2 linked regions of the Callithrix jacchus genome follow. The protein of the gene in region 1 interacts with the protein of each later gene in a pairwise test. Links are inferred from orthologs where the notes say so. Each region holds a gene or a part of one and is shown in the gene's direction. Other genes may lie near its edges.

Region 1 (3,933 bases):
TGGGAGGCTGAGGAAGAATAATTGCTTGAACCTAGGAGGCAGAGGTTGCAGTGAGCGGAGATCGCTCCACTGCACTTCAGCCTGGTGACGGAGTGAAACTCTGTCAAAAAAAAAAAAAAAAGTGCCAAAGGACTGCTCTCAGTGGAGAGCAGGCAGTGGTGTGGGCAGGGACATCTAGCCTCCCAGACAGAAGGAAAACAAGTGTGGACGTAGGGATAATCTATGGGGGAGTTGATTGGGGAAAAATTGTAGAAATCCATGCCTGAAGGCTTCTGCTTCTCTGAAGTAGAAAACCGGATCATCTGTTAAGTAATGCGGTTCCACTGACTTCTATTTGCACATTAGCCTTTCTTCTAAAAGCTACACATAACCAACAGCACTTCCTAAACCAGTTGACTTTTCTGTATAATGGAGACAGTAGACGCTACTTTATGGGATTGCTGTATGGGTTAATTGTGCCAACACGTGTACTTGCTCAGGAAGTATTAGCTTTATCACTGGGCTGATGTGAGTGAGGGCAGGGGAATGAAGGTTTTGATTAATAAATAATGGACTGCAAGTCTTCGGGTATGACCATGGATAAATGCAGTTATTTACTCTTGCAATGGGTTCTAAGTCAAACCCTCAGCTAGGTCAGGGAGTAGTTATGAACAGCCTACTTTTGCCCCAGGACCTTAAGAAGTCTTGCTCTGGGATCGGCCGCCTACCGGAAAGTCGTGTTCTCAGTGCCCAGCGCGGTCTTAGAACAGCCTCTTCCCAAATCTCAGCGGCGGCCCCGCCCCTTCCACAGGTTCAGGCCCCGCCCCTCCCTGCTATTGGCTGTCCCTCCCATTTGCTCGACCGCTCTCAGGACCCGGAGGAGCGGAGTTTTCTAAGGCAGCCTCCGAGCGCCCTCGCTGCGCATGCTCGGGGGAGGCCGATTCCGGGTCCGGAGTTGGAGGCTTTGGGCTGTCGCGGCGTCGCGCGCGGTGCCGGGGCCGGCGGGGAGGCGCGCGCTCGGGGCGCGGCGCCGGCGACGCTGCCACGCAGCGCGCTCCCGAGGAAGGGAGGTGTGGGGTCGCCTGGGGGTGGCGCGTGGCCGGGGTGGGGGTGGGGGGAGGGTCGGGTGTCGGCGAGCTCGGCGTGCGGGTTCCGAGTGTCTGAGGCGGCCTGGGCTGCCGGGGCCGACGCCTGGGTGGCTGCCGCCGCCGCGCCTGCTAAGAGATGGCGATCTTGGGCGCGGAAGGGTGAGGGCGCCCGCCGCAGGAGGAGGTGTCCCTGCCGTGGCCGCCCGGCTGCCGGGAGCCGACAGCTTCGCGCCGGGTAAGGACTGCGCGGCGCGGGGCTGGGGGCGCAGGACTGGGGAGGCGGGCGGGGAGGGAGGGGGCGCGGGCCCCGAGCCTTGGCCGCGGTGCCCGGCACCCGGCGCCGTCCGCCTGCGGGCGGGACCCTCCAAGGGGCAGTGAGAGGACGGTCCACCCTGCCTTGTCTGCCTTCTCCGCCTTCTCCAGCTCGGGAGCCGGGAGTTTTCTGGGGTGGGGTCACGGGTCTTGCCCAGAGTTGGCCCTGGCACAGGCCTGTGCCAGTGATCCTGAGCGGAGCTAAATGTTTCCGTGACTCTGCAGCCGCGGTTCTTCCTCAGCCTTCTCTTCGGTTTCCTTCACCTTTTCCTACCTCACTCAGAACACAAATATAGGGACTCATTGCCCGTGCCCTGAGTTTTCACCCCAATTTCAATGTTGCAAACCAAGGACTCCAGCCTTGGAATGCCTTTTTCTGACGTGTTTTTGTCACTCCCGGTTCTTCACCGACTCTGCAGCTCCCCTCCCTGCCCCCCCAGCGCAACCCCCACCTCTACCTTTTGTGACCTGGTAGGTCCCGGTGACCTTGCAGATTTTACCAGTCCTTTTTACCAGTCCTTATCTTGTCTGTGACTTACACACTTACCTTTCATCTTCGTTTTCTTTTATAAAATTTTTCATTTTCTTGTTTGCCCCTTACCTTTACGACCTTTAAATGATCAGTCTTGTTCACAGTCTTCTCTGCTCTGTGGATTTGGAGTTTTCTTTGCTCTGGTAATTATATGAAACCTTCATTACCAAAGAAGAGTAGCATCTGTTATAATTTTGACATTCACTCTTCCAGTAAAATATTTTCCAGGGGCTTTTGCTTTCTTTTTCTATTTGAAAAGTTTAACAGTTTTGGTTTTTTTTTTGTATGTAGGTTAATGTGGAACAAGATTTTGTGTTTCTGCTTTAAAATGTTACTGGTAATAGTAATGGGGAAAAAAATAATATCCACAGTTGTCTTTGTTTTCTCCGTTTGGTGATTTTGCCAGAAATACATGGGTTTACAGTTATCTGCAGGTTTTATTTATTTATTTTTTTACAAGAGTTCATGTGTATGTGTAAATCCTGCCTCACCAAATCTGTGTGTATTATGCAAGCAAAGAAAGTCGTTCTTGTATTGTGTGACTTGTTTTTAGCTATCAAGTTGGAAATTAGCTGCGACTAGAAATGATCATCTTTCATAAATAGTTAATATTTTAAAAATGGAAAGTATAATGGCCAAGTGTTTGGATCTACTCAGATTGAAAATTGTAAAGTATGTGAAATAGTTCTTTGGGACCTAGCTTATTAACATTTTCAGATAGTTCTTACCTTAAAATGCAAAACTGCTGGTAAGACCTATGACATCAGGATTTTCAAAAGCAATAATTACTAGTTATGTTTTTTGGAAGTCGGCCTAATAGAGAATGTCACAGATAAAGTCTCTGCCTTCAAAGAGATAGTAATCTTTGCTGTTTACCCCATGGTGGCTGAAATTTCCTTTACTTCCTTGTACAGATGTTAGGCATTTACTGCATAATTGTGGGGGATATTTTGGGGAATACAAAAATGAACTGATTAGCAGTTTCTGCTTTTACACTAATTAGGTAGATAGTGCTATAAACAAATGCCCTATTTGTCTTTTAATATATACGTTTCGTAAACAGTACCAAAATCCTCTCAGAAGTCAACTTCAAAGAGAGTAGAGCTCAGATCTTACTTGGCAAGGTAGGGATAAGAGGGTTAGTTCGTAGAGCTTCTGGCTTCTGAAATCGTGGTTTTGAAGGATCACTATGACTTTGGATAGGCAGGAAAGGTAATCCAAGCAGAGAGGGATCTCTAAGAGAGCACAGAGTTCCTGTTTGGGGAGAGGCAAGTAATTATGTTTGGGTGGAACATAGTGTTATTTGTATTTGGATAAAGGGTGATAAAACATGAAGTAGAAATTTGGAACAGTTTATGGGTTGTTTTTAATGCCAGGCTTATGAACCTTGGATTTACTAGGTGGTGGGGCTTCCACAGATGATTTTGAATTGGGAGTAAAACAATTTGAACACTTTGTTTCAGAGGGATTAGTGGGATAGCAGCCTGTAGTGTGAGTTGAGGTAGGGAGCGTGTGGAGGTAGAAAGACCTCCCAAGTGTTGTAGTCTGAGGTGTGGTGCACGCGAATGGAAAGGAAGAAAGGAAGTAGAATAGCCAAAATTTGATGAGAGGGCAAATGAAGAAAGTAAAAGTAACAGATTCTGATCCAGGTTGGTTGGGAGAACGTGGTACCATTTTGAGCAAAATCATGAAGCTTTACCCTCAGCATATGTGTGCTACTTTACAACCTTTTGGGGATTACTACTTCTTGGTGAAACTTAAGAAATCTGCTGGCCTGGAAAACTTCCATATGTACCTGTGCTTTGTGGCTACAGTTTTAGGAGAGTCCGTGGACCATCTGAAGGTCATCCATGGCACCCATCTCAGAATTACTTGGAGCTTTTTTTTTTTCCTGAGGTAGAATTTCTTTCACTCCTTCCAGGCTCATTGCAACTCCCACCTTCCAGGCTCAAGAGATTCTCCTGCCTCAGTCTCTCGAGTAGCTGCAAACACAGGCACTTCCCACCACACTTGGCTAATTTT
Region 2 (4,167 bases), on another chromosome or scaffold:
CAGCAGCAGACCGGCTTGTGGGAGGCGGTTCTCTGGGACAAGGCAAGGGCTCCTGCCGCTTCTGGCCTTATTTTGTGTATTCCGACACACCTCACAGGGCTTTGTAACTCCCCACCCACTTGAAGGTTTGCAGATAACTTAAAAACAAAAAAACAAAGCGGGGGTAGGGGGTGGGGGATTCCTGCTGTTAAAAACAAACAAAGGACTTAGACACTGCCTAGTTTGATGTGGGAGGCCGCAGCAAGAGAAAGGCCCAGGGTACCGGAGTATTTCCTGAAAGTCACCAAGGGGCCTGCGGGCAGACGCCCCTGAAATCTTTTGGTGGGGTGAAAAGACCGGAGCTCCACAATGTGCCAGTTGGTTTGTTGTTGTTTTGCTTTTTTATTTTTTTTTAAATACATAAACTCCCAAATACTCCTGTCTTGCCTCACTTTTTTGTGAGTTCATTGCTTTGGAAACAAAACTCTCTTGCATTTATTGGGTGTCAAATTTCCGATCTTTCTCTATCAGGAGATCCAGCAACACCCGGTTATGTAAATTTCTTCCAAAGATAAATTTAAAAGCATCCCCATTCATTCCTTTTAAGAATTCAACAGATGTCTTTGAGGCCCATTTTCTGCCGGGTACTCGCTTCACAAGGCTCAAGGGACCCCAGGCTCCAGCCATTGTCAAGGTTGTCACTGAGATCCCAACTCTCCACTTCTGAGGACCCACTTGTCCCCACCTCCCCGCTTCGCACACGTTCCGGAGGCTCTCAGCCGGTGTGATCTCACCGTCGAGAGAATAAAAACAGCCCCCGGGCGCCGGAGCCGGCCAAGGGCCTTGACGGGGATCAGCGAGCGCAAGGCCAAGTGCGCGCCCCAACTTCCTGGGCCCGGGCCTTCCGCGCGCCCCCTCCCGGGCTGGGGTCCTCTCCAGGGTGCACTCCCGCCGGGACAGCGCTTGCTTGCTGCGAGTCCAACCCTCTCCGGCCCGCAACTGCAATCGAGCTGCCCGAGCGTGGGCTCCGACAGCGAACGCCAAGGGCCGCGCTCAGCCCTCCCTCCCGCGGCCCTTCTCGCCGCGCCTTTCCCAAGACTTCCTCCCCGCGCCCGCCCGACTTCAGGTGGGGGCTGCGCGGGATCCCGTGCGCTCCAGCCAGGACCGCTGCCGCCCGGGTCGCCCACGTGGGCGTGCTGGGCGTGGGGAGGTGGCGAAGTGGCCGGCCAGCCGGCCCGCCGGGGGCCAGCCGGGAGCTCTCCCCTGAGCAGGGGGCGGATAGGACGCCCGCGCGAGGAGGCGGCGGGGCGCGGGGGAGGAGGCGGGGAGCCCCGGCGGCGAGGGGGCGGTGACAGCGCTAGGAAAGGAGGCTGCACGCGGATTTGCATGAAACACAGACTGGGAGCGGGCGGGAGCGGGAGCGGGAGCGCGGCGTACGCCCCGGGCCGGCCCAGCCAGCGAGCGAGCGAGCGGCGAGCCGGGAGGAGGAGGGCAGCGGGGCTGCGAGGCAGCAGAGGCGGAGGGATCTGCTCATCAAAGCTAGCGAGGCGAGCGAAGTTTGGCCGGGGGTTGGACTTTCCTTCCCGGAGGCGGCACCCAAACAGCTACCCCGTGCGGAAACCCAAACTTCTGCTGCCACTCGGAGTCTCGCGGCCGCCGCCTCCGCCCCGCGTTCGGGGCCTTCCCGACCCGGCGCCGCTGCCGTCCGCCCACCCGCCTGGCCGCCGTTTTCCCCGCCGTGGGAGCAGCTCCGGGCTCAGAGCGGCGCGCCGAACCCCGCAGGCTGCAGCGCCGCGGCCCGGCCCGGCGCCCCGGCAACTTCGCCGAGAGTTAGGCGAAGTTTGGGCGGCCGAGGCCGGCCCCGGCAGAGCTCCCCTCTGCGCCCCCGGCTTCCCGCCGAGTACAGCCCCGCCGGGGGCGCTCCTCGCCGCCCGCGCGCCCTCCCTAGCCATGTCGTCCATCCTGCCTTTCACTCCCCCGATCGTGAAGCGCCTGCTGGGCTGGAAGAAGGGCGAGCAGAACGGGCAGGAGGAGAAATGGTGCGAGAAGGCGGTCAAGAGCCTGGTCAAGAAGCTCAAGAAGACGGGGCAGCTGGACGAGCTGGAGAAGGCCATCACCACGCAGAACGTCAACACCAAGTGCATCACCATCCCCAGGTGGGGGCCCGCCCGGGGGACCCGGGGGCAAGCAGCGCAGCCCCCTGGCACTGCGGGGCCGACCCAGTGGGGTTGGAGATGGGAAGAGGGAGAGAGACTGTGTGCGTGCGTGTAAGAGTGGGGAGCAAGAGCAGGGGCAGGAAGGGGGTGGGGGGACCCCAAACAAAACCATCTCTGTATTTGCAAAGATCAGAGCCCGAGGCTTCCACGCGGCACTCTCGCTTCCAAACCTCACATTCCCTTTCCACCCCTGGGAGGGGAGAGCGGGTTGCTGCGGGACTCGGCCGCCCCCACCCCGGGGAGCTGGGGCTGGAAGTTGAGGCCCGCTTTGTTCGGCTCCGCGGGCCGGAGCCCCTCCTCCGCCGCCGCCTCCCGCCCCCGCGGCCCGCGCTCGTGGAGGTGGTGGTGTCTCTGCGTTTCTTTTCTTCAGTCCGGTCTCCCCACTTCTTTCCTCTACAGGAATGCGGTCCGTACAGCTGGGGCTGTGGGTGAGGAGCGGGAGCCTCGTGATTGACAGATTCCTTCTTCGTTCTTTCTTTGCCTTCGGGATTAGCGTTTTTATCGAGTATTTTTAGATTCGGTTGTGCCAGTCTCCCGCCCCCTGCGCACGCACGCACTTTGGTTGCAGTGCAAATGCTCTGACTTCCAAATGGGAGAGACAAGTGGCAGAAAATAGGGTCTCCTCCCTCATTTCCCACCCCTCATCCCGACTCTTTTGCCCTCCTTTCAGTCCAAGAGATTTTGAGTCGTGCAGAACGAGGGAGAGGGGCGGGCTGGAGCCGGGCAGATAACAAAACACACCCCGAAGTGGGCCTCGCATCGGCCCTCGCATTCCTGTAGAGCCCTCCTTCCCAAAGCGCTCTGCCATCTGTCTGGATCTCCTTTATCCTTCCCGTCGCGCGCTAGCTAGGTCGGGCGGGAGCCCACAGATGGCTGATAGAAGGGGTCAGTGACTTCACTCCCCCAGGGGCTTCCTTAGCTTAGCTGTGCCTGATTGGGAATTGGGGGTGGAGGTACCTTGGCCTCCTGTCTCTACCTCTCAGTCTTCTTTGATTCCGAACCAGGGGAGAGAGTGTGTGTGTTGGGGGGTGGCTGTTTTGGAGGTCCTAGGCTGCAGAGGAATGATTAGAGAGCACCAGGGACTGTCAGCCATGAAGGGCTGTCATCCCTGTTCCGGAGCCAGGGTGGACTCCATCCTTGGCCACCTGCTTGGGGCAGTTGTACAAGGTCTGCCAGGAGAGTCAGGCAGGCACAAAGCAACATCTGTCTGCAGGAACTCAGGGCAGGCTTCCCCTGGAAATAAATGCCACATATGGTGGGAGTGCGGACTTAAACAAAATTCTTTTTTAACTGGGTGGATCCAGTCAATAAAGGGGGAGGGAAGGCGGTGTGCTGTCTGGGGAAGTCTCTGGGCGTGTGATCAGGAGCCAGAATTGACTTCAGAGGAGGTGGTGTGATGTGATGGTCAGAGAGACCTCGGGGTTTGGTTCCAGCTCGGGTTCTTAATTCTTCTGTATTTCTTCGGTGCGGGTGGAGAGGGTAGAGTGGGTGAGTATCCTACTTCTCTGTCTGGGGAGGGGGCTCCCAAACCTACCTTGTCCGTATCTGCCGTGGTGCATTGAAGACAAGCGCTTTAAGCGTTGAAAAAGAAAAGTGGTATTAATTATACAACAGGCAGCTGTGAAAAGTGTTTCACAGTTTACAAAGCACTTTCACATGGTTTCCGAGGTTCTCAAAAAAAGCAAGCAGGCAACCAGCCAAGCCCTGGAGAGTAGGTTAGGTTGTTAGGCCTAAGATTATCACATTTTTAAAGTTGAGAAAACTTTAGGAGAGAGAGGTGCAAAGGCCTGGGTAGTAGACACGGGCTTCTGACCGCATGTGCTCTTTCTGCTGCCCCACGCTGCTTTCTGCTTTGAAGATCTGAATACATTCTTTGCTGAATGCTAAAGCCCTTTTAGCTTGGGGAGGGCCCTGTGGACCTTTGTCTGTGCCGTTGCTCCTGTATCTGTGGGCTGTTGATGGCTTGGCGGAG

Evidence for each region. The genes of interacting proteins can lie anywhere in the genome.
Region 2: the proteins of WWP1 (region 1) and SMAD3 interact in binary tests that used the Homo sapiens proteins (3 or more experiments, as listed by UniProt). The two-hybrid records come from large-scale screens. The link is inferred for Callithrix jacchus from reciprocal best matches to the Homo sapiens genes WWP1 and SMAD3.

Annotation. Positions count from the first base shown.
Region 1 is NC_133517.1:40,734,736-40,738,668, reverse strand, and holds the start of WWP1 (NEDD4-like E3 ubiquitin-protein ligase WWP1), read left to right. Parts: upstream 1-1,133; 5' UTR 1,134-1,302; intron 1,303-3,933. UniProt on the Homo sapiens protein: E3 ubiquitin-protein ligase which accepts ubiquitin from an E2 ubiquitin-conjugating enzyme in the form of a thioester and then directly transfers the ubiquitin to targeted substrates.
Region 2 is NC_133509.1:14,107,529-14,111,695, forward strand, and holds the start of SMAD3 (mothers against decapentaplegic homolog 3), read left to right. Parts: upstream 1-1,367; 5' UTR 1,368-1,929; coding exon 1,930-2,135; intron 2,136-2,509; exon of another isoform or gene 2,510-2,596; coding exon of another isoform or gene 2,597-2,601; exon of another isoform or gene 2,602-2,623; intron 2,624-3,557; exon of another isoform or gene 3,558-3,683; intron 3,684-4,167. UniProt on the Homo sapiens protein: Receptor-regulated SMAD (R-SMAD) that is an intracellular signal transducer and transcriptional modulator activated by TGF-beta (transforming growth factor) and activin type 1 receptor kinases.